Linked DNA regions of Sus scrofa. The protein of the gene in region 7 purifies or fractionates together with the protein of the main gene of each other region. This does not show direct contact. Links are inferred from orthologs where the notes say so. Each region holds a gene or a part of one and is shown on either strand. Other genes may lie near its edges.

The links.
Region 1: the proteins of CANX (region 7) and TAP1 purify together in Homo sapiens (affinity purification with mass spectrometry; 3 studies listed by BioGRID and IntAct, with this or other methods). This does not show direct contact. The link is inferred for Sus scrofa from reciprocal best matches to the Homo sapiens genes CANX and TAP1.
Region 2: the proteins of CANX (region 7) and BSG purify together in Homo sapiens (affinity purification with mass spectrometry; 3 studies listed by BioGRID and IntAct, with this or other methods). This does not show direct contact. The link is inferred for Sus scrofa from reciprocal best matches to the Homo sapiens genes CANX and BSG.
Region 3: the proteins of CANX (region 7) and WWOX purify together in Homo sapiens (affinity purification with mass spectrometry; 3 studies listed by BioGRID and IntAct, with this or other methods). This does not show direct contact. The link is inferred for Sus scrofa from reciprocal best matches to the Homo sapiens genes CANX and WWOX.
Region 4: the proteins of CANX (region 7) and TECR purify together in Homo sapiens (affinity purification with mass spectrometry; 3 studies listed by BioGRID and IntAct, with this or other methods). This does not show direct contact. The link is inferred for Sus scrofa from reciprocal best matches to the Homo sapiens genes CANX and TECR.
Region 5: the proteins of CANX (region 7) and TGFBR1 purify together in Homo sapiens (affinity purification with mass spectrometry; 3 studies listed by BioGRID and IntAct, with this or other methods). This does not show direct contact. The link is inferred for Sus scrofa from reciprocal best matches to the Homo sapiens genes CANX and TGFBR1.
Region 6: the proteins of CANX (region 7) and EDEM1 purify together in Homo sapiens (affinity purification with western blotting; 6 studies listed by BioGRID and IntAct, with this or other methods). This does not show direct contact. The link is inferred for Sus scrofa from reciprocal best matches to the Homo sapiens genes CANX and EDEM1.

Annotation. Positions count from the first base shown.
Region 1 is NC_010449.5:25,068,906-25,073,581, reverse strand, and holds the start of TAP1 (antigen peptide transporter 1), read left to right. Parts: upstream 1-1,592; 5' UTR 1,593-1,813; coding exon 1,814-2,399; intron 2,400-2,864; coding exon of another isoform or gene 2,865-2,891; coding exon 2,892-2,979; intron 2,980-3,113; coding exon 3,114-3,244; intron 3,245-4,676. Other genes in the region: PSMB9 (proteasome subunit beta type-9), read right to left, coding at 1,140-1,199. UniProt on the Homo sapiens protein: ABC transporter associated with antigen processing. In complex with TAP2 mediates unidirectional translocation of peptide antigens from cytosol to endoplasmic reticulum (ER) for loading onto MHC class I (MHCI) molecules.
Region 2 is NC_010444.4:77,737,717-77,740,564, reverse strand, and holds part of BSG (basigin precursor), read left to right. Parts: intron 1-2,061; coding exon 2,062-2,218; intron 2,219-2,684; coding exon 2,685-2,767; intron 2,768-2,848.
Region 3 is NC_010448.4:9,867,857-9,872,472, reverse strand, and holds the start of WWOX (WW domain-containing oxidoreductase), read left to right. Parts: upstream 1-1,424; 5' UTR 1,425-1,782; coding exon 1,783-1,889; intron 1,890-4,616. UniProt on the Homo sapiens protein: Putative oxidoreductase. Acts as a tumor suppressor and plays a role in apoptosis. Required for normal bone development. May function synergistically with p53/TP53 to control genotoxic stress-induced cell death.
Region 4 is NC_010444.4:64,723,008-64,726,086, reverse strand, and holds the end of TECR (very-long-chain enoyl-CoA reductase), read left to right. Parts: intron 1-18; coding exon 19-433; intron 434-528; coding exon 529-632; intron 633-710; coding exon 711-826; intron 827-910; coding exon 911-1,016; intron 1,017-1,122; coding exon 1,123-1,195; intron 1,196-1,288; coding exon 1,289-1,332; intron 1,333-1,410; coding exon 1,411-1,468; intron 1,469-1,556; coding exon 1,557-1,645; intron 1,646-2,001; coding exon 2,002-2,047; intron 2,048-2,132; coding exon 2,133-2,260; 3' UTR 2,261-2,389; downstream 2,390-3,079. Other genes in the region: NDUFB7 (NADH dehydrogenase [ubiquinone] 1 beta subcomplex subunit 7), read right to left, coding at 2,520-2,652, 2,973-3,079. UniProt on the Homo sapiens protein: Involved in both the production of very long-chain fatty acids for sphingolipid synthesis and the degradation of the sphingosine moiety in sphingolipids through the sphingosine 1-phosphate metabolic pathway.
Region 5 is NC_010443.5:240,887,337-240,891,409, forward strand, and holds part of TGFBR1 (TGF-beta receptor type-1), read left to right. Parts: intron 1-2,069; coding exon 2,070-2,315; intron 2,316-4,073. UniProt on the Homo sapiens protein: Transmembrane serine/threonine kinase forming with the TGF-beta type II serine/threonine kinase receptor, TGFBR2, the non-promiscuous receptor for the TGF-beta cytokines TGFB1, TGFB2 and TGFB3.
Region 6 is NC_010455.5:61,709,925-61,713,997, forward strand, and holds part of EDEM1 (ER degradation-enhancing alpha-mannosidase-like protein 1), read left to right. Parts: intron 1-466; coding exon 467-539; intron 540-3,462; coding exon 3,463-3,566; intron 3,567-4,073. UniProt on the Homo sapiens protein: Extracts misfolded glycoproteins, but not glycoproteins undergoing productive folding, from the calnexin cycle.
Region 7 is NC_010444.4:78,888,244-78,892,316, forward strand, and holds part of CANX (calnexin), read right to left. Parts: coding exon 3,947-4,073; intron 1,772-3,946; coding exon 1,658-1,771; intron 1,082-1,657; coding exon 925-1,081; intron 1-924. UniProt on the Homo sapiens protein: Calcium-binding protein that interacts with newly synthesized monoglucosylated glycoproteins in the endoplasmic reticulum. It may act in assisting protein assembly and/or in the retention within the ER of unassembled protein subunits.

The DNA.
Region 1 (4,676 bases), on a different chromosome or scaffold from region 7:
TCAAGACGCAAATAGATATCTCAGTAGACAGGGGAAGGGATTTGTACCAAGGGAGCATTTGATTGGGGAGTTTGAGCTGACTTTTCCAGGTCAAGAAAGGAAATTAAGGAGAAGAAGAAAGAATGAAGGAGAATAAAGGTACAATTTTAACTCCCGTTGAGTTGGAAAGAACCTTTAGAAGAAACTGAGTCACTGAGAAGGTGAGTGACTCGTCCAAAGCACACAACTAAAACCCAGGTCTAGTTCTCATGCTTTGTTCTGACTTCTTACTCTCCACTGCTCATCTGGCTGTGAGGGGAGATTATCTGATTTATAAATGGTTTTATGGCTCTCCTTCTCACCACTCCATAAGTTACCTTGGCCCCCAGGGATATTAGCCTGAGTGTTCATTTTGACCTACTGATTGGTCATGAATAGCCCACCAGGGAACAGGGGCAACCCCATCCTAGAGGGTGTTGCTTTACAACAAAGCTGCTCTGACGCTGAGTGGTGGCAGTAGTTTGAGAGCAGAAGCCAGCCAGTCTTGGGCTGCCATCTGCCCCCCGGGGGCCCAACCTGGGCAAAAGTCCCCCGGCAGGTGTGTGCAAGACCTTGGAAAGGGAGCATGGCAGCGCCTGGGCCAAGCAGGAGCCTTCCTGGGCCCAGCTGGAGAAGGGCACTACCAGCTCACATAGAACCCCCATGATCAGACTATGAGTTACCCAAGGGCTGGCTTATCAAACGGTTGTGTCCCTTCTCCATTAGTACCCATACTCCCATCTCTCAAGCGCTGTCCTACTTCACCCAGGGCACAATTTCCTCATCTCTGTGCATCCTCTCCAACCCCCTCCCTTGATTTAACCATCCCCCCCCTCCAGTCCAGAGTGAAAGCGAAAGCGCTTTGGAACAGCTTCCCCTTAACGCTTCCACCTAAGGGCCAATGCATCCCCTTTCTACCAGCCTCGCGTGCCCAGTCCCTTCGCGGACCCCTAGACGACCCCCTCCAGAACAGAGACGCCTGTATTCATTTCAGGGTGCAAGCAGCTGGCTGCTACAAGCTATCTCCTCACGCTTGTTAGTCTTCAAATTTACTCCTTGGCGCTTCCAGGGTCCCCTTGTCGCTCCACCCCTCTGCTGGCCCTCAAGCCCAGACTCATTACCCCAGTGTGGACTTCTCCGGCCCGGGGTAAGTCCCCAGTAGGTCCTCCAGCCCGCAGCATCCCGGTGCCACGCTCCTCGCTGCCTTGGGCACTGGTTTCCGACCTGGGACAGCACGGGGTGAGCTGCCTTACAGCCCCGCCCCTTCACCACGCCCGCCAGGGGGCGCCCGGGTCCGCTCCTTGCGGCTTCGCACCCCTGCGCCAACCTGTGTGGTGCAGGTCTGCCCGGAGACAGATGACGTAAGATCCCTACCAAAGGGCTGGGGTGAAAAAGTCCAGACCATTGGATCCCGCAAGAGGAGGCAAGGAAAGAAGGAGGGTCTGGCGTTGGTGATAGTGAAGGTGGAGCGCCAGGGCTCCTCCCCCAAACCTCAGATCTGATGCCAACGCCCTCCTCCAAAATAGTCCGGGCTGGCCGCCTTGGGGAAGTGGGCGGGTCTAGTGAGCCGGCGGCCGCTTTCGTTTTCCCTTTCCCATAAACCGCTTGCTTCCAGCTCGCTGAGGCGGTCCAGGTCGGTTCCCGGGACTTTCCGAGATCCCCGCCCCGGCCCGCCCCTGGACCCTCCCCGCTGCGGGTCCGGGCCTGCTCGGGCACCCACTCCGACAGCATCCAGAGAATCCAGCCCAGCAGGGATAGCGAGAGCCCCAGGCCGGGGGTCGACCTCGTACGGCCAATGGCCAGCTCGGGGTCCTCCGCTCCCTGCGGGTGTCTCTGCGTCTCCCGAGCTTCCCTCCCTTGGCTGGGGGCAGCGCTGCTGCTTCTCGCCGACTGGGTGCTGCTCCGGCCGGCGCTGCCCCGGATATCCTCCCTGCTGCTGCCCCCAGCGCTGCCGCTGCTCCGGGTCTGGGTGGTGGGCCTGAGCCGTTGGGCTGTGCTGTGGTTGGGGGCCCGCAGCGTCCTCAGGGCGACGGTTGGCTTCCGGGAGAAAAGCACAGGACTTCGGGGATGGCTGGCAGCTTTGGAGCCGCTGGCGGCGGCTCTGGGCTTGGCTCTGCCGGGACTTGCCTTGTTCCGAGAGTTGGGCTCGGGAGCGGCTGACAGCACGCGGCTACTGCACTGGGGGAGTCGCCTCGATGCCTTCGCCCTCAGCTATGCGGCGGCATTGCCCGCGGCCGCCCTGTGGCATAAGCTTAGCAGCCTTTGGGTGCAAGGAAGTCACAGAGGCTCTGGAGTGACAGTGAGCCGGCTTCTCGGCTGCCTGGGCTCAGAGATCCGCCACCTCTGGCTCCTTCTGACCCTGGTGGTCCTCTCCAGCCTTGGTAAGGGGGATGCGGGGGGAGGGAGAGGGAGGCTAGAGGGCTGGGTAGGAATCAAGCCTAACGGTCAGTGAGATAGACAGGTGTGAGTTCTCGGAAATGTGGATAAGAGCAAGCCCACCCCGCTCAGGTCCACTTGGTGGAGAGGAAAGAGCCCTGGACTGGGTGGGAGTCAGGAGTCCTGGACTCCAGTGCTGCTCAGGTGTTGCTTCACTGGCCACCTTGGGCGAGCTCTTTCCTCCTACCATCCTAGGCTTCTTAATTAACCCTCTAAAGGTCTGGTGAGGCCACAGGATTACGAGTTCCCCGGGGGCCCATTCCAGTGCCGAGAGTGTGCGCTGTTTCTGCAGGATAATGGGCAAGGGTGAAGGGAGGATGGGCGGGAGGTGCAGCCTGGTTAGAGCTGAGCTGCTTAGGCTGCTTAGACTTGCTCTTTCTGACCCGCCCATCTCTCCTCTCCCTCCCCAGGGGAGATGGCCATTCCGTTCTTCACAGGCCGGCTCACTGACTGGATTCTACGAGATGGGGCAGGTGCTGCCTTCACGCAGAACCTAACTCTCATGTCCATCCTCATCATAGCCAGGTCTGACTGCTGAGCTTGGAAGGCTGGGGACGGGGGACCCTGAAAAGGGCGCAGTTGGAAGTTGGGGCCGCCCTCCAAAGTGCACTTCTACGGGGTCCCTGACCGACCGGCCCTCCTTCTTTGTCTCCCTCTAGCTCGGTGCTGGAGTTCGTGTGCGACGGGATCTATAACAGCACCATGGGCCGCGTGCACAGCCACCTGCAGGGAGAGGTGTTTCGGTCTGTCCTGCGCCAAGAAACAGAGTTTTTTCAGAAGAATCAAACAGGTGTCTTATGAACCTCTTTCATTATCCGTCTGTTTTCTATTTGTATCCCCACACTTCATCTTTTACTTATAATCTTGATCTTTCTCTCACACACACACAAATGGTGTCCCTTTTTATTCTTGATGTACTTCAAGAGCAAGATATGCTCTTTACCTTTAGAAAAGCCTACTGTTGGAGTTCGCCGGTGGCTCAGCGGGTTAAGGATCTGGTGTTGCCACTGCTGTAGTTCTGTGGCTGCTGTGGCTCAGATCGCTGCTGTGACTCAGTTTGCTTCTATGGCGAGGTTCCATCTGGCCAGGGAAATTCTGCATGCTGTGGGAAGGGCAAAAAAAAAAAAAAAAAAAAAAAAAAAAAAGACAAAACCAAAAACACAATAAAACAAAAAAAAAAATGATTAACCTACTGTTTCCACCCAAGATTTTTCCATAAACTATCCCTATAAGTGTATTTAGGTAGAATTTCAAACCTGGAAATTTTGAGATTAGAGAGTCTAGCTGACTCATTTTACAGAGAAGTGAAATGAGGTCTAGACCTAAATGCCAACATTTGCATGGATGCACATGGATGAAGACAAACTTGAGAGCAGAACCCATGTCTTGATTCCCAATCCAGTGCTTGCTGTGGTTTCCTGGACTGCTCTCTAGTAGTCTCTCCATTTTTCTCCAGCTCTTGTATGACCAGCTTAAGTTCTTCCTACCTATGAGCATGGTATATACAAGTTCTTTAAGGAACAGACACCTGTCAGAGAAACAGAAGTTCACATGGGCATCCATTTCTTTAAAAATTTTTTTTTCTTTTATGACTGCACCTGTGGCATATGGAAGTTCCTGGGCCAGGGGTTGAATCAGAGCTACAGGTGAGGCCTGTGCCAGTCATGGCAACACCTGATCCAGCATCTGTGACCTACGCCACAGCTTGTGGCAACAGCTGGTCCTTAACCCACTGAGCGAAGCCAGGGTTCCAGCCTGCAACCTCACAGAGACGGCGTCAGGTCCTTAACCGCTGAGCCACAGTGGGAACTCTGGGCATCAATTTCTTTATAGTTAAAACGAAGGTCTTTGGCCAGGCTTTTCCACTCTAACACATTTTTCTTGCATTATGTTTCAGTCCTCCCCCAACCACAGACCTTGTTTTCCTGACCTTCTTTGTCTTTTTTTTTTTTTTTTTCCCCGCTATTTCTTGGGCCGCTCCCGCGGCATATGGAGGTTCCCAGGCTAGGGGTCGAATTGGAGCTGTAGCCACCGGCCTACGCCAGAGCCACAGCAACGCGGATCCGAGCCAAGTCTGCAACCTACATCACAGCTCACAGCAACGCCGGATCGTTAACCCACTGAGCAAGGGCAGGGATCGAACCCGCAACCTCATGGTTCCTAGTCGGATTCGTTAACCACTGCGCCGCGACGGGAACTCCTTTTCCTGACCTTCTTAGAAC
Region 2 (2,848 bases), about 1.2 Mb from region 7:
AAGTGGTATAGAGGTGAGCATCCAGCCTCATGCCCTATCTGGCTGTAACTGCTTGGCCTGAGGCTTGAGTTGCCTTTTGGTGGCCCCAGGTGGGCAGATGTGAAGGTCGGCTTGTCCCCAGGACCTTGTGGCCAGTAGCTGTGCTCACCCACACAGCCTGGGAACTCTGAGCACACGTGCCTGTGAGTGTGTGTATGTGTGTATACACAAGTAGCTACAGGTGTGGACCGCTAGGGGCCTCCTTGCTCTCCCCCTGGCACTGCCATCTAGTTTTTTGCTTCCGTCCCTGCTGACCTGGGCCTCTGAGACATCCTGTCTTCTCTTAAAGAAAGACCCAGTGGGTAGCCAGAGGTGGGGCACTGAGGCCTGGCCATGCACACATCCTGTCCATGGGCTGGCCTTGGGTCCCACCTCTACACCAAGAGGCCAGCGTCCCGCAGGCTGGAAATGCACCTGGGGAGCCAGGGCCCTCCTGTGGCCAGTCCATAGTGGGACAGAGTGGAGCATGGTCAGCCCAGCAAGAACCTAACAGGCAGGCCTGGGCAGGACCCATGTCCTCCAGGCCCGGATCTCAGATGCCTGAAGAGGACACAGTGCACTCTGTCTGCAGCCGTTCCAGAAAGTGGCTTGATGGGAAAGTCTGGCTTGGGATCCGGGCTTTCATTTTCCTAGCAGCTAAGGCGTCCCTGTGGACGGAGGGAGCCCAGGCCAGCCCTGCTCATGTGTGAGTGTGAACCTGGTATCCTCTGCAGCCAGGTACCCTCTTCTCTTGCTGTGGGGATATCTTTCCTCGGGACTGAGGTTCGCTGATCTGACTGCCAGGTGGCTAAGGTGACTGTCCAAGTGGGGGTCACGACCTCTGATCATTCCACCCAGTTTCGTGTGTTTTTTCTGTGCTCGCATAGTTACACTGTCAGAAGTCACCATGTAACCCCAGGGAGGAAGCAAGGACCTAGGGAGGGTGGCTTGCCCAGTGGGTGTTAAGAGCTGCTGCCTGGCTGCCGGCCTGTCGTCTGTGTCCCTGTAGCTGCTTTCCCCTCAGTGCCTTCTTACTTGGCTGGGTTGTTCAAGTACAGGCTTGTATTCTGCTCTTTCACCTGACTTTACACCACAGGCTTCTTCCTGGGCTGGCTCTCAGCCCGTGTCCTGTGTCCATGACCTTCTCCAGGGGATGCCTCTGAGATATGTGAGGGTGGGTGGCCTTTCCAGAGGGTCACTTCTGGGTAGGCTAACAATTGCGCTAACACTGCTGTGCCTCAGACCCACCTTTATAAAGTCCCCACCGTCCCCAGGGACAGTGTTGTCTGCTCTGGGACAGGGCTGTAGTGTGGCTACTCCACTGATGGGGGTTGCAGCCCTGCCCGGCAAAAGGGTTCTTGTTCTGATCTGCTCTCCTGATCCCAAACACATGGAGGTCTGGGGTCTCATGCCCCAGGGCCCTCCCTGCAGAGGAATCCTCCCAGCTCAAGCCCAGTCTCTCAGCTCTCATAGCCATGTCTCTTACTGTCTAGTTCTAAGTGTTTTCTATGTTTTGGTTCCTAAAGAAAACATTTTCGAGGACGGGGTGGTTTACCTGCTTAGAAACCAGTGGAAGGGCTGCCGGCTGTTCCAAGGCTCTGGGGGTCACCCCAGCCTCACAGGCAGGAGGAAACAGCACACCTGACCCACCTCAGACGGCCTGCCTTGATCAGGGGAGGGGAGATGCAACGCCACCCAGAGGGGATGGTGACCTGGGCAGCAGTAGACTGACTTTCCAAAGGGGCATTTGGGGTCTGCTGGCGCTGGACCCTGCAGTCACTGTCTTGGTCCTTGTACCCAGACCAGGGTGGGCGCTGCTTCTGTTCCCACACCTAGGCCCAGCCAGTTGAGACCATTCCTCCCAGAATCCTGCCTCTGACCCCGAGGGGAGGTCCTTCCAGGGGCCCCACAGTGCTCAGCTCTGTGAACCAGCCCTGGCTTCTCCCTCTGTGCGGTCGGGGTTGGGACCACTCGGGTTTGCCATGGGGACAAGCAGCCAGTGGCCTGGGTTCTTCCCTTTTCACCTTATCTTTGGCTGCCCAGGGAGCAGGATCTGGACCTCGATAGATGATGTTGGCTCCAAAACACGCCTCACCTGTGCCCTGAATCACAGCGCCACTGAGATCGCGGGCCACCGCTGGGAGAAGGGGGGCAAGGTGCTAAAGGAGGATGCGCTGCCTGACCTGAGGACAGAGTTTGAGTGAGTGAGGCCCTCCCAGCAGGGAAGGGGCTGGGGCCTGATCATGGGGCGGGGTCAGGGCTGCTGGCCCTGCCTGCTCTGACCTCTCCTGGCCGCCAGGCCTTGGCCAGGCTGGAGGTTGTAGTTGTGGCCTGGCTTTGCACACATTAGAAACAGGCTTGGGCTGAGGTCTGGGACCCAGCAAGGGGCAGCTGGCTGCAAGACTTCATCACCTCTCAAACCCATCCCTCCTTCCTGTGAGATGGGGTCTGGGCACTCCAGGGACCAATGTGACACCCAGTTTGGGACGAGGAGTGGCTCCAGAAGCCTAGAACACTGCTATGAGCTTGGAGGGTGGTGGGGCCAGGCTCCCTGATGTGGAGTGATCCTGCCTGCTGCCCCGCACACCCCTGGTCCCTGTTCTCTGGGGCTGCCTGTCCGGTGGAGGTTTCAACAGGCTGCTTCTCTCATACCATGTCTGCTACAGGGTGGACTCAGACGACCGCTCAGGCCAGTACTCCTGCATCTTCCTGCCAGAGCACGCGGGCCGCACAGACCTGGAAGTGAAGGGTGGGCTCCCCTGGGCTCTGCAGGGCAGTGTTGGAGGGGAGGTGGGGTGCGGGAGGGACGCATGCGCAAATCCTAATCCAG
Region 3 (4,616 bases), on a different chromosome or scaffold from region 7:
ATGGAAAGGCAGGTGCCCTCAGATAATGCCAGACAACTCAACGCTCAGAACCAGCAGCATCTGAGTACCACGTCATGAATCTCTGGCCAGAAATTGGCTCTTCAATGCCTCGGTAAAGCTCAGCATTTGATTCACTTGTTAGTAATTTCCTGATTAAGGGTGGCTTAGTGGTTCTCAACTAGAGGCACAATTGACAAGGCCTGGAGCATTTCTGGTTGTTATAGCTGTGGGGGAGGGGATGATACTGGATCCAGTGGGCAGAGGCTAGAGGTTAAACATCTTACAGAACAGCCCCCCTTCTCCCAGAAAGAATTATGTGGCCCCAAATGTCCGTAGTGTTGAGATTGAGGAACCCTAGTGCCCGTGGCAGGAGAAGCCTGGGCGGAACTGTTGAAGTGGTAGGAAGAGCAGAGGGTTGAAGAAGTTGAGAATCCTGCCTGGGCACAACCCAGGTTGGGGGAAGACGCTGTGCTCTAGCACTGTCTGTGGAATAATGTCATGTCACAGGCAATAGGTGCCAGTAGAGGCCCTGGCCAGGGAACCAAAATAAATCTAAGCACTAGTTTCTTGAGAAGCTGAGCAGAGGCTGCAGACAACGATTGGAGAAACAGAGGCTGAGCCATTTGACTGCGTTCATCCCCCTCCCCATTAGGGGACTTTGTGACCTAATTGCCTATTCATATCAAAGGAATCATTTGCCTTAGGTGACAGGGGCAAGGGGTTAAACTGGGGTGAGCAGAAGATCGGCAAGTTAATAGTAGCTTACTTAAACATACATGGATTTGCAGAGTGATGTTATGATAGATCTATGATGGGATAGTGGGTTCGTTAAAACTAAAACACGCTTTTGTTAAGTTAGCTTTTGGTTGGGTAGATTTCCAAGGAAAACAAGTTTCTCCCCTAAAAAACACGCAGAGCAGGAATCCCAAAGCACTATCAGTCTCAAGGCATGAAGAAGAGAAAAAGCAACACTGCCTTTTCCCCACTTTCCCTCCTTTCAAATTTGTAATTTCTCTGCTGGAGGCTTGCTTTTTCCTGAAACCGAGTCAGGAGAAATCAATGGAACCGTGCTGGGGTTGGAAGAAAAGTATCCAAGTTAGGGCAGCAGAAGGTGCCAGGATTTATGTTTCTGATGTTTCCCATGTTTTGCAGTGTTGCAACAAAGTCTGCGAGTCAGCCTGGGTCATAGGAAGTTCTGGAACGTTCTTGAGCGGGTTCATTCGCGTTTGGTAAAGTCCTAAAAGGAGAGGCTAGAAGCCAGAGAGGCAGCTTCTGCCTGCTTGTTTTAGACGCCACTGTCTATGCCGACCAGGTCTGGACTACATTTCCCAGGATGCCCAATTGCTGGCGCCCGTGCAGGATTGGCTAGAACAACGCGGAAATGACTACGGGTCGCCCAGCAACGGGCGGAGTCCTGGACCTTGACTGGATGCCCACGCCCCTTGCCTGCGGAGAGGAGGTCTCGAGGCTCGGCTCCATCTCCAGCGCCACGGAGGGTTTACCGCTTTTTACTTGCAGCCGAGCGGCCGTGCGAGCTCGTCCGTGCTTTCCCCACAAGCTTCCTGGGCCCCGCCCCCTTTCTCTCCAGCAGCTGCGAAACTGCGGAGCGTGGATTACAGCTGCCGTGTCGGCTGAGGGGCACCGGGAGGCGCAGTGCGCAGGCGCGAGCGTTCGGGACCCGCGGCGCGCGGCGCTCGGTTGTAGCAGGAGTGAGTTCCTGGGCGCAGAGACCCGGCAGTGGGCTGTTGAGCGAGCGGGTGACCCGGCGCCTCCTCTGCAGCCATGGCAGCTCTGCGCTACGCGGGCCTGGACGACACGGACAGCGAGGACGAGCTGCCGCCGGGCTGGGAGCAGAGAACCACCAAGGACGGCTGGGTTTACTATGCCAAGTAAGGGGGCCGCCGGGCCTGGGGCGCACCTGGAACCCTGACTACTCACCTGCCCGGGACGCCGCGCTACCCTCGAACGCCACCTCCGCCGGGAGGGCCACGGGCTCGTACTTCGGCTTGGCCTGGGCGGGCGAAGTGGCAGTGTTGGTTGAAGAGTTTCACATAGAGGGCTGTTGGAGTCCTGAGGACCGGCCGGCCCCCTCTGACTCTTGGTGCAGCAGAGGGTTACTTGGCGTCCCTGCTCGCGCGGTGCTGCCCAGTAGGCAGCCTGCACGGTGCAAGGATGGCAGACCGGCCTCATCCCCTTCCCCTTACAAAAATGCTCATGTCTAGCTCCTTCCTTGGGGGGTCTGGGGTGGGGACTAGGAGTGTGTATTTTCAGCAAATATCTTAGTATCCTATGTGTGTATGTGTGTGTACACGTGTATGCACATATAGAAAACACATAGCTGATTTATTATAGTTCTCAGGAAAGTTTTGGAAGCACCGTTTTCCTATCACTGGCTATGTGACCTTGAGTCTTGGGAAGAGCTCTCAGGCATGGTTTTCAAATCTGCAAAATATGCTGATAGAGTTTTAGGTGAGTTTCTGTACATAAAGCGCTTAGCATGGGTCTGAAAATACTCAGTGCTGGATAACTGCTCCTCTTTCCCGCTCTCTGCAGCTGTGACGGAACCTTCTAGGCCCGATATTAGAATCAGCTGGGGTCTATCTTAAATAGAGCTTTGGGGTCGCCACGGAGACCCTCATGCAGCAGAATGCCCAACATAGGGGATCTTTATCTTTGAAGCTTTCCAGGTGAGGCAGGTTACCCTTGCTTTGAGGAACACAGGTGTAAACCAGTGATTTTCAACACCTGGAAAACTTTTTTTCTTTTCTTTTTTTGAAGTATAGCTCATCACTTGGAAAACTTAAATACTCTTCTTCTGTCTCCCACCTCCAGAGATCCTCATGTAATTTCCTCGCCCCTCCCCCACCCTAATTGGTAGGTTGGAAATTTTCTCAGGTGCTTCTGATCTGCCCTAGGTTGTGGGCCACTCCTGCCTGTGGTGGTTTGGTACCAAAAAAAAAAAAAAAAAAAAAAACCCTTGATGAGTTTATCAGGATACACTGGGAACATATCCTGCCCCAGGCTCTTTGCTGGGCTCTGGTTATATGGAGAGAAATAAGACCCATTGTCGCTTTCCTGAGTGCCCTCCTGTCTTTCTAGGGCTGGGGGAGGTGAGGAGGTGCCTGGGCGGGGGGGTGGCGGGGGGGGGGTTGGCAGCTGAGGTCAAGTCCAAGAACAGGAGGGCAGCCCAGGGAGACAGGGTCCTGGGCCTGGCCTGTGTTGCTGCAAGACCTTGAGGAATGAGGCAGGAAGGACCCAGGTTATTTATGAAGGAGCCAGGCTCCATTGTCAGGGCTCGAGGGTCCACTGAAGACTTGGAGCCAGGGGGTGACCTCGGGTTTGCGTCTTCATTTTTTAAAACTTTTTTTTTTTTTCCTTTTCAGGGCTGCTTTCGCGATGTATGGAAGTTCCCAGGGTAAGGGTCGAATAGAAGCTGTAGCTGCTGTGCCAGATCTGAACTGCCTCAGCGATCTACACCACAGCTCACAGCAACGCTGGATCCTTAACCCACTCAGCAAGGCCAGGGATTGAACCTGCGTCCTCACAGATACAAGTCAGATCCCTTTCTGCTGAGCCGTGACGGGAACTCTGGGTTTACGTCCTTAGAAGGAGGACTTCTGCTCTAGAATGGACATTCTTGGAATGTGGGGGCTGCAGGCAGCTCCAGAACAGGAGGTAGCTGTTCCCTCAGCCTTTGCCTGAAGGGCATGTTCAGCCCCGGAAGCTGAGCTAAAATGTTGCTCCCCCCTGAGAGCATCCACAGGCACGGGGGTCTGTGCCCTCTTCCTGGCACCTTGCGATCCCTTGTATGTGGTTTTCTGTGCTCTCCTTGGCCCCGTTTGCTCTCTGGCCGTCCCCAAGTTGTCAAGTTCACGAGGGCAGAGACCTTTTCTCGTTCCCCTCCCTATGCCCCACGCTTCGCTTGCAGGAGCCATGGAACAAGTCCATGGGGAAGAGTGAGTGCATGAGTTCATCTGGCGAGGGTTTCCTGCGGGCCTCCCTGGCCAGGTGGCCTTAGGCCCCAGGAGTGCAGAGAGGCACACAGCCTGCTTCCCAGCTCCAGTTTTTGGGGGCTCCTCTGCTCCGTGGCTTCCTTCTTCTTCTTTTTTTTTTTTTTGGCTGCACCTGTGGCATGCAGAAGTTCCCGGGCCAGGGATCAAACCTGTGCCACGGCAGTGACAACACTGGATCCTTAACTGCTTGGCCACCAGGGAGCTCCCTGGCTTCCTTTCGAGGCGCCTGGAGCCTCAAGTTAGATCTGGGGGCTCTTTTCCCTGTGCTCACCCCATCTTTTCTCCTTTGTCTCACCTTATGTTGGGTGGCCTTGCCCATCTGCTTGCTTTCTGAATGGTGTCCCTGCTTCCAGTAAATAAGACCTGCACACCCCAGCCAGCTCTCCCACAGCTTCTGGGGATCAGTGGTGCATATATGGTCTGAAAAATCCCCACCCACAGCAGTGTCTGGTCCTGGTGTTTGCACTGACTGGTGACAAGGCTTGGTGGGCTCCCAGCTGGGGGCGAAGTACCTGTCTCTAGATGTCCCTCGAGTCCTTCTGGCCCTCTTTTCTTTGGCTCAAGGTTGAAGGATACCTCTGACTGATCCTGACCCTGGATTCC
Region 4 (3,079 bases), about 14 Mb from region 7:
GGACTGTGCTTCTCCCAGGTGGAGCCCCAAGCCACCATTGCCGAGATCAAGAACCTTTTCACCAAGAGTCGTAAGTCTGGGGCCTGGATGCACTGCCCCTTGCGACCCCTCTGGGCAAGGACCTTTAGGTGGGACCTCATTTTGCAGAGATTCCCCCTGTGTGGCCCAGGCTTCTGTGGGCTTGCCTGGAGCAGGCGCCCCCACGTGGCCATTGGTAGGAACGCCCTTGCTGGGCTGTCGGAAGGACAACATCCGGCTTTGCTTGCTCTTCCGGTCTGTGTCCTGGAGCTGCACGGGCTTTTGCGGGGCGGGGCGTGGGGGGAGAGGAGTTGCTGTAGGGAACTTGGGTCCCACCAAGCTGTGCACTGTGACATCTCATTCCCCACAGATCCGCAGTGGTACCCTGCCCGCCAGTCCCTCCGCCTGGACCCCAGTGAGTACAGCTGTCTGCCTGGCTCCCCCTGGGCTTTTGGGTGGCAGTGGGTGGAGGCCCAGGCAGCCCCTGAGCCCTGGCCCACCTCTTGACAGAGGGCAAGTCCCTGAAGGATGAGGACGTTCTGCAGAAGCTGCCTGTGGGCACCACGGCCACACTCTACTTCCGGGACCTGGGGGCCCAGATCAGCTGGGTAACGGTGAGTGCAGATGCCCCTCTCCCAGTAGCCTTGACTCTCATCTGCCACATTGTGGTGACTCACTTTGCCCCTCCCCAGGTCTTCCTGACAGAGTACGCGGGTCCCCTTTTCATCTATTTGCTCTTCTACTTCCGGGTGCCCTTCATTTATGGCCACAAATATGACTTCACGTCCAGTCGGCATACGGTGGTGCAGTGAGTAGGGCCAGGTGGGAGCTGGTGGCAGAGGGAGGGGAAGGCCTGCCGGACCTGCCCCTGCTAAACTGACTTCCCCGACAGCCTCGCCTGCATCTGCCACTCATTCCACTACATCAAGCGCCTGTTGGAGACGCTCTTCGTGCATCGCTTCTCCCATGGCACTATGCCCTTGCGCAACATCTTCAAGGTCAGCCCCCAGCTGCCCATCCCAGGCCCCTCACCCTTGGCCCGCCCTCCCTGGTCTTCCTCACCTCCACTGGGGCAGGCTCCATCCCGGCCCCGCTCCCTTTCAGAACTGCACCTACTACTGGGGCTTTGCTGCATGGATGGCCTATTACATCAACCACCCTCTCTACACACCCCCAAGTAAGTGGCCTTGGACCCTGTTCCCCCTGTGAACAGCCCCCTCCCTGACCCAGGCTCTCCCCTGACAGGCCTTCCTTTCTGCTTCCTCTTCAGCCTATGGAGCTCAGCAGGTTAAATTGGCACTCGCCATCTTTGTGGTAAGCAGTCTGGGGTGGATGATGGGGTTGGGGGAGTCTGTGGGGGTGCCCTCCGAGCTGACCCTGCTTCTTTGACAGATCTGCCAGCTTGGCAACTTCTCCATCCACATGGCCCTGCGGGACCTGCGGCCAGCAGGTGAGTGGCCTCCTCCAGGCAGGGGGGCTGGCTTCCTGGGCAGGCTGGGCTGGACTAGGGTGTTCTCACTTCTGTCCTGTCCTTCCAGGGTCCAAGACCAGGAAGATCCCATACCCCACCAAGAACCCCTTCACATGGCTTTTCCTGCTGGTGTCCTGCCCCAACTACACATACGAGGTGAGGGTCTGCCTGGCTCCCCTCCCCTGTCCCTCCTGGGGTTCGGGATCCTGTGTGGAGGGCTAGTCTTTAGGAGGGGGGTTGCCTAGCTTCGTAGCTGCTTTCATAGTTTGAACTTAAAGTACCTGGAGAAGGAGATGGCCTCTTGGGGGCCGGGGGGGCAGCTTCACCATGTAGTCCCCCCTTCACCTCCTTTACTCCAGGCCCTTCGAGCCCTGGAGTTTGGTTCCCACCCCCTTACTAGAATAGAAAGTAAGGGTTGGTGGGGAGGTGGCTGGGAGGGTGGGCGGGGTCTTGACAGAACAGCTGGGGCTGTGCAGCCCTGCCCACCCTCGCCCTGCCTGCCCCGTCCACAGGTGGGGTCCTGGATTGGCTTTGCCATCATGACACAGTGTCTCCCAGGTGAGCCTGCTGCCCCTTCCCCAGGTGGGGCCTGTCTGCCCTGGTTGTGTGCAGCCCTCCCTGACTCCACTGCTCTGCCCTACAGTGGCCCTCTTCTCCCTGGTGGGCTTCACCCAGATGACCATCTGGGCCAAGGGCAAGCACCGCAGCTACCTGAAGGAGTTCCGAGACTACCCGCCCCTACGCATGCCCATCATCCCCTTCCTGCTCTGAGCGGCTCCCCCCACTCAGGCTCAGGCAAGCTGGGCTCTGTCCCCCTGCCCCGCCCCAGTGTCATCCTGGGGGAGGGGTGGGAACTGTTGCTCTCTAGTGCCTGGAATAAAACCTGCCTGCCCAGCTGGACTCAGACTCAGGGTGTTTCTTTTGGGGGTTGGTTTAGGGACCAGCACACGACAGAAAGAGGCAGAGTTTGGGCCAAGGGGCCTGGAGGCTTTTATTTCTTGACTGGTCCACAGGGTGGTAGGTGGGCCCACTACAGGGCCATTTCGGGAGCCACCTCACCGGGCCCCTGGCCTCTGGCCATTTCTGCTTCCCTCTGCTCCCGCCGCTTCTTCCGCTGGAGCAGCCGCCGCTCCCGCTCAAACTCCTTCATGCGCTTCACGTAGCTGTGGGCAGAGCAGAGAAGTGGTGTCAGGTCCCCCTCCCCCAGCCAGGACACAGCCGTCCCATAGTCTGAGAAACTGATGGGACAGGAGCACGTGGCCTGTGGCACTTGGGGGGCCTGAATAGGAAAGACCTGTGTCTGTGGATTGTCTGGGGACCACCCCCACCCCCTCAGGTGGACACCAGTGAACCCAGAGCAGGGGCTGGGCCTCCCACCTCAAAGGTCCAAGGCAGCCTCAAAGCCACTATCCCACCCAACAGCCCCTTTGGGGTCCTCTTTCTATTGAGGTGGAAATTTGGAGGGATGGGGTGTGGGGCTCACTCTAGGTGCTCGCAGTAGTCCCAGTCATGCTGCTCATGCTTGCAGGCCAGAAAGTTGGGGAAGCTGTCACGCTTGCACTTGAGCAGCTGGATGAGGTAGTGGGCGCA
Region 5 (4,073 bases), on a different chromosome or scaffold from region 7:
ACTGACATTCCTGAGTTGGGTTTAGCAAGTGAATTGGGGGTTCCCCGAGACTATCCTCAGGCTTGATGTTTTGCAAGAAGGACTCACAGAACCCAGGAAGACTTTTATACTCATGGTTTTTATTTATTACCAGAGAAAGATACATATTAAAATCATCAAAAGGAAAAGGGAAAGCATATGGGGCAAAGTTGAAGAGAAACCAAGTTCAAGCTTCCAGATGTCCTCCCCCAGTGCAGTAGCACAGCTGCACTCCATAGCTTAGCAATGAAGTGTAGCATGTGAGAAGTGCTGACAACCAGGGAAGCTTACTGGAGCCTTGTTGTGCAGGGTTTTTATTGGTGGCTCAGCACACAGGCTTTGTAGCATTCTTATCAAGGAGAATATTTCAAGGAGTCAGAGCTCATCTCCCAGGAACTGGCCAAGGATCAGTCCTGAAGTTAGGTATGTCTTTGGAATGTGCAGGGTTTGAGCAACTTGGGCCTGCTGAGTTAACCCTTTCCTTCACTGCAAGTTAGCTGTTCAGAGTTAGTCGTCTTCTGGCCTGTCTAGTTACTCTTTTTCTGGTTATGGTAGACCTCCTTGGTCTCATCACAGATGGCCATTCTGCAAACCTGGACTCTTCTGTTTCCTTTGCCAACATGTAATTGGAAAGTTTGATCTCTGCTTCACAGTTTCATGAGATCATAGTGAAATCTAAGTGGCCAATTCTGTCATTCATCCAGCGTTATTTGAATGTACCAGTCCTAGTGGTAGATGTGAGTTTATAGAAATGATTATTATGGGTCTCTGCCCTCAAGGATCTTAGAGTTTCATAAGGAGAGGAAAAAATAATAACTCTGGGTAAGGAGTGTATGCTTTGGAGAGCATTAACCTTGTTGGAGAGTTTAGTAGAGGTGTACGTGTGTGTGTGTGTGTGAGTGTGTGTTTGGGAAAGTGTTGGTGATAATTAGAAGACTTCCCTTCATTGGTTACTCCTCAAGTTGAACTATAAAGATCATATAGATAAAAGTGGGTATAGAGCTAGTGTTTCTCCAGTCATTTCTGTAGCCAGTTGCTAGTGTGGTTGGAGCATATATGTATTGTTACCTTGCTTATGAGAAAGTAACCTAATTCTAATTAGAACATACTGGTCTTTTTTTAGGGTTTACACAAGAATGTCTGACAAATCTATTTCTTTTACTCCATTACTATAAATCCACCCTTGACATTTCCAACCTACACTGAGGCGGTAGTAGTATTTTCACATATTGCTCTCCAGTGGGGGGTGTATATGAATGTCTGGTTTTGGACTTAAAGGAATAAGTATAACCTTTAAAAATTTCAATGTACCTTTTTTCAAATGGGTTAGCAAATGCTTATCTTAATGTTAATGAAATTACATGTAATAATGTTTATATACTTGGAACTTAAAAAGTTTTAGGAAAGAACCTGGGTCCAGATTTCATCATATTTGGCTCCTACATATGTATGCTTCTTAACAGAATTTGGAACTTCTTAGAGTAACAGTTTTGTTTTGTTTTAATTTTATTGGAGCATAGTTGATTACAATGTTGTGTTAGTTTCAGGTATACAGCACAGTGATTCAATTATATATGTACATGCATCCATTCTCTTTCAGCTTCTTTTCCCATTTAAGTTATTCTAGAATATTGAGTAGGGTTCCATGTGATCCACAGTAGGTCCTTGTTGGTTATCTACCTGATATGTAGTAGTGTGTACATGTTAATCCCAAACTCCTAATTTATCCCCCTGCCATTTCCCCTTTGATAACCATACGTTTGTTTTCAAAGTCTGTAAGTCTGTTTCTGTTTGGTACGTAAGTTCATTTGTATCATTTTAAAAATTAAATTCCATGTATAAGTGATGTCATATGATACTTGTTTTTGTCTGACTTACTTCATTTAATATGATAATCTCTAGGTCCATCCACGAATTTTTTTTTTTGAACAGTGCAGAGATTGTATGATTGTAATAGAATCAGGAGTGTATTGATTTAGAGATTATGGGATAATTTCAGATTGTTAACCTTGAGAATTTTTTTCTGATAGGGTCTTTTTCTCTTTTTCCAGCATTACAGTGTTTCTGCCACCTTTGCACAAAAGACAATTTTACTTGTGTCACAGATGGGCTCTGCTTTGTCTCCGTCACAGAGACCACAGACAAAGTTATACACAATAGCATGTGTATAGCTGAAATTGACCTAATTCCGCGAGACAGGCCATTTGTATGTGCACCTTCTTCAAAAACTGGGTCTGTTACTACAACATATTGCTGCAATCAGGACCATTGCAATAAAATAGAACTCCCAACTGTTGGTAAGTTGTTTAAGATTTTTTTCTTGATACTACAAGAAAAGTTCTTAGAGGCTGCCACTGATTTTAGAGATGGAAGGGATCTTAGAAATTGTCTACCCCAGCTTATTCAGTTTAGAGGCAAGATCTAACTTGTCCATTGTTGTAGTTATAAGGGTAGCCAAGATCTTGACTCCTGGGTGTGTGTTGTTTGAGAAGGTAGTTCCACGATCGACTTTCTCTGAGGTCTGTTATGCCTAAAAGAGTAACCTCTTTTAGCAAATCCTGATAAAGCCATCACAGCAGTATGTCCTCACAGTGTCTCTACTTTGTTCTTAGAGTGAATTTTTTTACTTTTATAATACTCCAGACTTTTTTTTTGGTGGGGTTGGGTGGGGTTTTAGGGCCACACCCGAGGCATATGGGAGTTTCCAGGCTAGGGGCCAAATTGGAGCTGCAGCAGTGGCAGTTCAGAGCCACATCTGCCACCTACACCACAGCTTGAGGCAATGACAGATTCTCCACCCACGAGCGAGGCCAGGGATAGAATCCACATCCTAATGGATACTAGTCAGATTCTTAACCTGCTGAGCCACAACAGGAACTCCTAGTGCTTCAGACTTTTAAAGCAGTCAGTAATGGGCAGGAATTGAGAGCAGCACTAAACAGTCCAGATATCTCATTTTGTAACTTCAACTTGCCTTATGATCTTTATGTATAAATTATTATATGATTTCTAGGTTTTTCATCATTCACCATAGTTTACATTTTACTTTTTTTTATTATTGTTATTATTATTATTATTTTTTTTTTGTCTTTTTAGGGCTGCACCCACGGCATATGGAGGTTCCCAGGCTAGGGGTCCAATTGGAGCTGTTGCTGCCAGCCTACGCCAGGGCCACAGCAACGTCAGATCCGAGCCATGCCTGCAACCTACACCACAGCTCGCGGCAATGCCAGATCCTTAACCCACTGAGCGAGGCCAGGGATCGAACCCTCAACCTCATGGTTCCTAGTTGGATTTGTTTTCCCTGCACCATGACGGGAATTCCCCCATGGTTTACATTTTAAAACTTAATAAACTCTTAGGATTAGATTCATTTTAAGGCTCTGGTTTAGGGTGTCAGTCTGAGCTCATGTATTTAACTCTTATGTCATTTTCCTCAAATCCCAAATACCTATTATAATAATATATAAAGGAATAAAAAACAAGGGAAACCTGTATTAATGATAGTAGAATTAATGGAAGACATGCCACCCACATGCCTATACTTGTGAAGAACTCTGTAGTTTATAGAGCAGATAATAACAGACAAGTGAAAGAATCTCTTGCAGAATCCCATAGTACCTTAAGCTGATGAGCTGGGTGCGAGGTTAGGCTGCAAGTACGAACTCTTACTTCTCCTTTAAGAAGCACCTGCTTTCAGTACTGAGGTGCAGAACACATGGCTCACTTTCCACTCAGCTGGTCTAGGCCCATGCTAATTATAGTAGGAAGCACAGGAGTGCCTGTTGTGAAACAGTGGATTAGGAATTTGACTGCAGTGGCTTAGGTTGCTGTGGAGGCACAGATTCAATCCCTGGCTCAAGTGCAGTGGGTTAAAGGATCTGATGTTGCCACAGCTGCAGCTCAGAATCATTCCTTAACCTGGAAACTTCCATATGCTGTGGGTGCAGCCATAAAAAGGAAGAAAATAGGAAGCACTGTTGTAGCTCAGGGGAAAAGGGCCAGACCTGCCAGTTGTGGAAGGAAGGCAGTCCTCCAGCTAATTCAAGTGATAA
Region 6 (4,073 bases), on a different chromosome or scaffold from region 7:
GATATTGAGACTGTAACTGAGGTATTTATTTGCTTCTTTTTGTGTGTAATCTGCTGGAGTGTCTGGTTTCTGAAGTTTTATTTGCAGGTCATGTGACAAGGCTCTCCTTTTTCATTCCTAACGATTTCGAAATCAGAGCTTTTTGAAGCTGGACGGAGAGATCATTTGTGGTGATAAAACAGAATCTCAGAGAGGGCAGTGACTCTTGTTCCCGTCCCCTGGCTTCCTGTTTCCGTGTTCTTTCCACCATAGTATAAGTGTGCATGTGTCTGCTATCCTGTGACACTACAGAAACCATCACTTGTGAGGTAGAACCACCATCACCATACTAATCCATCCACAATAATCCCTGAATAAACAAGAGGTTCCAACAATTTTAGTTTCTGATGGTTGTTTAGTTTTATTATCTTTTTTCTCTTTTAAAGTAAAGTGCCTTTGTTTAATTTGAATTTTCCTTGTTTTTCAGTTCAAATTTGAACATCAATGATGTCCTTGGGAATTATTCATTGACTCTTGTTGATGCATTGGATACACTTGCAGTTAAGTGTTCAGCTTTGTTATTATTTTTAAACATTAATTAAGATAAGGTATTTTTGAGTTAATTAACATTAATTTTCCTCCAGGAATGAGAGTTCCAGGAAGCTTAATACTCAAAATGTATTCATAGCTCTGATAGCTTTTGTTTATTTTAATGAGCTTAATGCTGGGAGCAAAAAAAAGCGTCGGAGGTTAAAAGAGGGGAAGTGTGATTTCCCTAAAAAAAGGGAGAAGAAAGTATTTTTGTTTTGGGAGAAGCTGTTTTTCTCCCAGCTTCCCACTATTTCATTCCTTAAAGGAACCAGTGTACAGTTACTCTAGTTAAGATTTGAGAAGTACAAGATAAGTCATCAGGATCTTAAGGCCTTCACAGGACAAGATCCCCTGAAACGTCAGCTGGGTCCTGGCATCCCAAGAGCGAGAGCGAATCTGAGCCCTGGCCCCCCACCTCTGCACAGAGACCCTCTCTGTTAACAGCCTCCTTTTATTTGCTTTCCGTGTTTTGTGGACACCCCCCTTCCAGCCTTGGGCTGCCAACTCAGGGACCACCTTTACCTCCTCATCTCTTGGTTCCCTCAAGGCCTCCAGAGACCTTGGAACAGATTTTTAGAAGCGCACTGAAAGCAGTAAAGCCCTGTGGAGGGTACCTGTTACCAGACTGCCATGTGTGCTTGCTCTGCTTCCTGACTTTTTGCTCTAGAATCCAGCAAGGGGACTCAGTTCCACATAGCGTTTAAAAGTTTTCTGAGTAAATAAGATTTTACTACCTCTGCTCCCCTTCATTGCCCAGCCAGGCTTTACCAGTAGAAAATTTTTACTCTCATCAATGTCAATCCTCCATTTTCTTTCCTTAAAAAGAATTTAAAGCTGTCCAGAATTAGAATTGGGTGATGCTATTTCAAGCTTGCACTATGAATGAGCAGGATCTTGTTAGTAGTAGAACTGCTGGAACTTGAGAGGTCTGTCTACATCCTCCTAGGCTGGTCAAATAGGAAATCCGGGGTTTCATCCTGCCAGTTGCAAGGCAGTTAAAGTTTCCCAATATCTCCTGCTGAAGTTATTGCTGCTCCATTTTTGAGTTATCCACCATCACTGATCAGAATGTGCCCAGACATGTATGTTCACCCTAATTACACTTGTTGAAGGTGGCAGAGGCTGACTCAGCCTGCAAGTGTTGCTTTAAACAAAGTCCCAGGACTCATAGATAGCTTATGAAAGCTGGTCTTTTCTCCCTGAGCTCTGTCTTTTTGCTGTATTGTGTCTGTTTATCCCCCTGCCATGCTCATTAAATACAGAGACCTTGTCTCTGTTAATCACTGCTCTCTCTCCACACCTAATGGTGTCTGATACTTAGTAGGAGTGCAATTATATGTCAGGAAAATGAATTTCTACTAATCTGAATTTCCCAACACAGATTCCAAGGGTAAATTCCCTGAAAGAAGAATTCTGTTCCAAATGAACTGGAGAAATTTTCCAAGTCTGTGATCTTATTGGAGAGCCACAGTATACACCATCATTTTAAAGGCTCTGAGAAATTCTACAGTAGAGAAACCCATTTAACTCTTCTGTCCAATCCAGCTTTTCTTAAGTGAATGATTTCATAGCCTCGTTACTCTCTTCTGTTCCTGTCTAAAATGGTAAATTACAACACGTAATTGAAAGTTGTTGGCTTCTTTCACCACCCCCCACGTGATTTAGACCATATTAGCACCTGCAGCTGCTAACAGATATTGCTGCTGGTGAACATCTGTAAGGAAACAACCCCATCTCTGTGGTTTTCATTGCAGAATATCCGGTCTTTAAAGTATACTTCAGGCTTATTTTTCAGGTGTCACTTCTGTTGAGGTTTCCCTTTTCTTTTGCTAACATTTTAAACAAACTTTAATGGGTGTGTTTTGGAAACATTTGGACGATAGCAATCCCTTGACCATTTGATGCAACTTGCAGCGTGATTGCATAATCCTTTAAAAAGAAAGATCTGAAAGCCAGAAAAGAAATGTCTGTACTTTTTCTGCATGTTACAGCAAAATAACAATGAGGGGGGTGAAAAGAAAAAAAAAATGCACAAGACCAATAAATACTAGGAAATAAGACATACCTGAAAGAAGTAGTGTCTGAATGGAATTGTTTTTTCTAGTTTTCATGTGTGTCCTTATGATGTCATTACAGTCCCAGAATTGTCATGAAATTTTGAATAGCATGAAAGCATTTCAGTTCAGTGTTAAGTATCAAATTTTACACCCAATTTGCACTTCATATAGGAGAGAGAAGCTTAGAATACCTTATCCACGCACCCAAAATAGAAATCATAATTCTAGATCACTTTTTACAAAGGACGTAGAGTTGATTATGTCTATGTTTTGATTGTCCTGAATGTCATTAGTTTTATGCTGTTATGCTCTAAAAGATAACACCACTGTTTCTCAAATTGTTCAGATATCTGGGTAACAAGTCACAAGTCGGTTTCCCAGATGTTTTGGTCTCCTGGGAGCCAAGCGCCGAAGCTGTCCAGTTACTTGAGGAGCAGCAAAGTTATGTTTTTTGTTTGTTCAGTTTGGGGGCTTATTTTTACTCATTTCAGTAATTTCAGGAACTATAATGCCTTGCATGCTAAATAAGATCAGGTTGAAGTTGAGGGAGAGTGGAGTGGGATCAATGAGGAGTGCTAATGATCTTATGAAGAATTATTTTCCCAGTTTCGCCATTTGGAGTTAGGACTCTTGAGTTGTTGGAAATGGACTTGATGTCTGTCCCAGAACATATTTTAAGAGATAACTGTGCTTTTCTGCCTTTTGTGTTTCTGTTCCCACAAATGGTAAAACCACACATTAGAGACACTCAGATGAAGTGGCCTACCTCCCTGCCATCATGTAGCCTCAGTTTCACTTCAGGCTGTGGTAATGGTTTGTGTTCCTCTTTTTAAAGATAATGGGAAATTCATCCGAGTTCCAGAAAGCAGTCAAGTTAGTGATCAACACAGTTTCATTTGACAAAGATTCCACCGTCCAAGTCTTTGAAGCCACAATAAGGTAAAAGAGTACCTAAAACGGATTGAAGCCTTCTTTTATGTGTGTAAGGAGAAAATTCCTGTGAGGGTCCACCAGCCACGAGGTCCAGGTCGAGGGTCCAAGCCTGTGATAGCCTACCACCTATGATAGACCACTGCTGAGCATTTGGGTCTACTCGCTCCTCATGTGTCTTTCTTCCTCCCTCCCTCCCTCTAATGTGCTGGGCCCTTGTGTTATATCTTGCCCTTTTGGTTTGCTAGATTGTGACTGTTTTCCTTTTCCATTTAAACTTTTTGGAAATTGTATCACCATATAACTTTGCAGATGTAACACTTCTTTAAAACTAAAGTTATGAAAATATTCTGAAAAAATATCATGATCCACTTTGGATCATTGGAATGGGACATGAATTCATGGTTGTTCAGGGATGGAGATCGAAGCTGGTGGCCCCTACCTCTGAGTCAGTCATCTTCTTTTTCTTCTCTTTCTCACCTCGCCTCTCTGCCTGAAGTTGGAGAATTTCCTGTT
Region 7 (4,073 bases):
GTTTCCTGGTCAGATTCGTTTCTGCTGTGCCACAAAAGGGAACTCCCAAAAGCCTCTACTCTTATCAACTGCTGGCAGGAGTCAGTACAGACTTCTTCAGGGATGATTTAAAAGGTACACCATCTTCAACCAGATTATTTCACTTCAGCTAACTTCCTAAAGAAATAGTTACCACATACATTCAGAAGAAAAATCACTTAAGTAAGTAAGGACTAAAAGCAAAAATGGCAATTCACCAAAATGGCCATAGACAAAGCAGCTAAAAGGCAATTTTTAATTTCTCATTAATGGCTCAATTAAAAACACATTTAAAAACAGAAAAATATACAGTTTATACAGAGAGATGCAGACCTATACCGCACATTTGAAAATGTAACAAAGTAGAAATTAATGATTTTAAATAACCTGACTAGAAACAGAAGTGAGACCAGGGTCTGAGTGGTTATGTCTATAGTAAACTCGAAGCTTTATAATATCACCACCTTTATTCTTATCATCTCATTTGAGCCTCACAGTCTTTTTACAGTGGAAAATACTGAGGTCAAGTAATAAGCTGACTTGTGGTCAGGAAGCCAACTCCCATCACAGTCCTCTACCCACCCCATCACAAGACATTGCCAATTTGAATTCTGTGGCTACCGCACCCCTGCCACACAGGAGCAGGGTAACCAAATCACAAGTTTCCCATTTTTTGTTTCTTTTTGTTTCTAAACATAAAAAGCAATTAGGAATGCTCTTCCTTCCAGCTTCCAGGTTTATCTTTTTAATAATTAACACATTAAGTTCCCTCTCAGTTTTGAAGTTTACTTTGTTTTTAATACAACAGTTTGAATATAGTGATCAAACTGGCAGCCTCACTACAGACAAAGCTTGTATCTGAACACAGAGATCAATGAAGCAACTCAACCATTAAGAGGTACAAACCTGGTAGTTAGGATTGTCAATCATGGGAGGTTTCCATTTGCCCTTATAATTAGGGTTGTCAATCATAGGTCGCTGCCAGACACCACACCCAGGGGCCGACTCACACTTGGGGTTGGCAATCTGAGGAGCCTCCCACTCTCCATCCATATCTTCATCCCTGTGGAGATATAAACAAACTCCAAGTGAATTCTATGATGCAGGACTATGAAAAGCTGTCCCAGGGCTTCCCTGAAATCCTGCATGATAATTTCTAAGTGTTGTACTACAGAGCATCATCTTGTTTTCACATTTCCAGCAACAAGGGTATTTCATGAGAGGTGCATTAAAAAAAGAGAGATGAAAACGTAATTAGTTTGTTGAGCTCTACATTTTGAGCACTTGGGTGTATTTAGGTACTAACTTTTACTTCAAAAAAAAAAAAGTAGGTAAGTTTAAAAGTTAACTAAAGCTCGGAGTTCCCAAAGTGGCTCAGTGGTTAACGAATCTGACTAGCATCCATGAGGACGAAGGTTCAGATCCCGGCTCAGTGGGTTAAGGATCTGGTGTTGCCGTGAGCTGTGGCATAGGTCACTGACGTGGGTCAGGTGCTGAGTTGCTGTGGCCACACAGCTCCAATTAGACCCCTAACCTGGGAACTTCCACATGCTGCAGGTGCAATGGAAGGAAGGAAGGAAGGAAGGAAGAAAGGAAGGAAGGAAGGAAGGAAGGAAGAAAAGTTAACTAAAGCTCATACCAATCCTCTGGCTTCTCTGCATCTGGATCAGGTACATATTCAGGCTCATCATCTAACCAGCCTATAGGCTTAGTGGCTTCTTCATCTGGAATCTTAGCAGGGGCATCTTCATCCCTTAAACACAAAAGAAAAGGTCAACTGACAACACTGGCCAGTAAATCACAATGTGGTCCCACTTTGTGAATCTTAGGGCAATCTAAAAATATCTTGGGAGTTCCCCATGTGGCACAATGGTATCATCAGCATCTCTGCAGTGCCAGGAGGCAAGTTTGATCCCCGGCCTGGTACAGTAGGTTAAGGACACGAGTATGCCACAGCTGTGGTGTAGGTCACAACTATGGCTTGGGATCCCTGGCCCAGGAACTCCGTATGCCTTGGGGCGGCCAAAAAAAAGAAAAATGTTGGCAATGTGGAGAAAATGAAACTCTCATACACCACTTGTGGGAAAGCACAGTGGTGCCACTTTGGAAAACAATTTGGCAGTTCCTCAAAAAGTAAAACATAGTTACCATATGACCCAACAATTCCACTTCTAGGAATAACGACCAAGAGAAATTAAAATGGACATTCACCCAAAAATCTATACATGAATGTTCGTAGCGTTATTCATTAACCACATACAAAAAAGGGAAACCTACATACTGATTAAATAAAGAATCGATAAATAAAATGTGGTATTATCCATACAATGGAGTACTACTCAGTCATAAAAGGGATTGATACATGCTTCAATATGGATGAGTCTTGAAAACATTATGCTAAGTGCAAGAAACTGCCCACAAAAGACCACGTATTTTATTATTCTATATCCAGAATGGGCAAATCCATAGAGAGAGAAAGCAGATTAGTGGTTTTCAGGGATTAGTGGAAGGCAGAGATAGGGAGTAACTGATTAATGGGTATGGGCTTCTTTTTTAAATTCTTGGTCAGGATTATGCTTGTTTTTGAACTATGCTTGTCTTAAAATTACCTGTATGAAAACTTAAACTTGTATATCATTCAGTGGCCTTTTAAACTGAACATTCACCCCTTACTCCCAAGATAAAATAGCTAGTTAAGGAACACAATACTGAATAATAAGGCTGAATCCAAACCTGGTATTCACCAAATATACAAATAAACTCACCCTTTATAGCCATGCACTATCAACTAGAATTTAACTGCTAAGCCTAAGAGGATACTTTTACAAATGGAAGATCAGTCTTACTATTATTCTGTGTTTACTTTCTGACATTGCCAAGAGTCACTGCACTGTGTTCAAACATGGCAATACATAAGAGTATAAGCTGCTTGTTTTCTCACCAGGCTCCAATGTGTTCCCTACATAAAAGGCTACATATACTCAATTTCCCTCATATATATGTTCAGCTCACTCCTGTTCCTCTACTTTTCTACTTTTGCACATATTCTTTAACCAGGGATTACCATTTCACATCTGCAGCAGTTAGTTAATTCTTGCCCCACTTGCAAGTTTCAGTTTGATTTGCCCTGCTCCAAGAAACTGCTAGAGTTAGGTATACCTGGTGCCCTGGTAATCAAGTAATACCTATTAGACCACTTACCACAAACACGTCAACTTCACTTGCCTGTCTTACAACTCCACTCGGAGTTGCATAGGCAGTTGGTGTCCTTGTGGCTTTGTATTCCACCGCCCAACAGAGAGCAGTAATCTCCTGAGTATTGTTTCAATAGGAAAGAGGTAATTCTTCAAATTAAAATTTAAGATTTTATGGAGTTCCCACTGCAATGTAACAGGATCAGCGTCTTAGGAGCATTGGGACACAGGTTTGATTCCCAGCCTGGCATAGAGGGTTAGGAATCCTGGCATTGCCGCAGCTATGGAGTGGGCCACAGATGTGGCTCATATCTGATCCCTGGCCTGGGGAACTCCATATGCTGCAGGATGGCCAAAAATAAATAAATAAAATAAAATTTATAATTTTAGGACTCCAGCTTTAAATACGAATTCATAGAAGCATTAGAAAGGCTGGTCCAAGAGACTTGAGGTTCTGCCACAAACCAAAATGTTACACAGGCAAACTATATCATTGGTTTTAGCATTTGGTGGCTTGTAAAATGGTGTGAGGCAAGGCAGGTGATCATGATGGCCCTAGTGATCACTAGGGTAGTCACTACTATTTTCAGCTACAGTAGTCTCTATGTTTCCTAACATTAGGCTGCATCACGGATTATTGAAATTATCAGATCTCAACCAATATTTGCTTATTCAAGTCACATGAAACATATGAAATGCTCCAATGCACTCAAAGACAGGTCCCAAAGACTCACCAGTCATCTGGTTTGACAGCATCAGGATCTGGAATTTTTGGTCTTTCATCCCAATCTTCAGGCTTCCTGTCTTCTGGGTCCTCAATTTCACGTGAAGGATTTACAGGAGGAGTCATGTCATTTAACA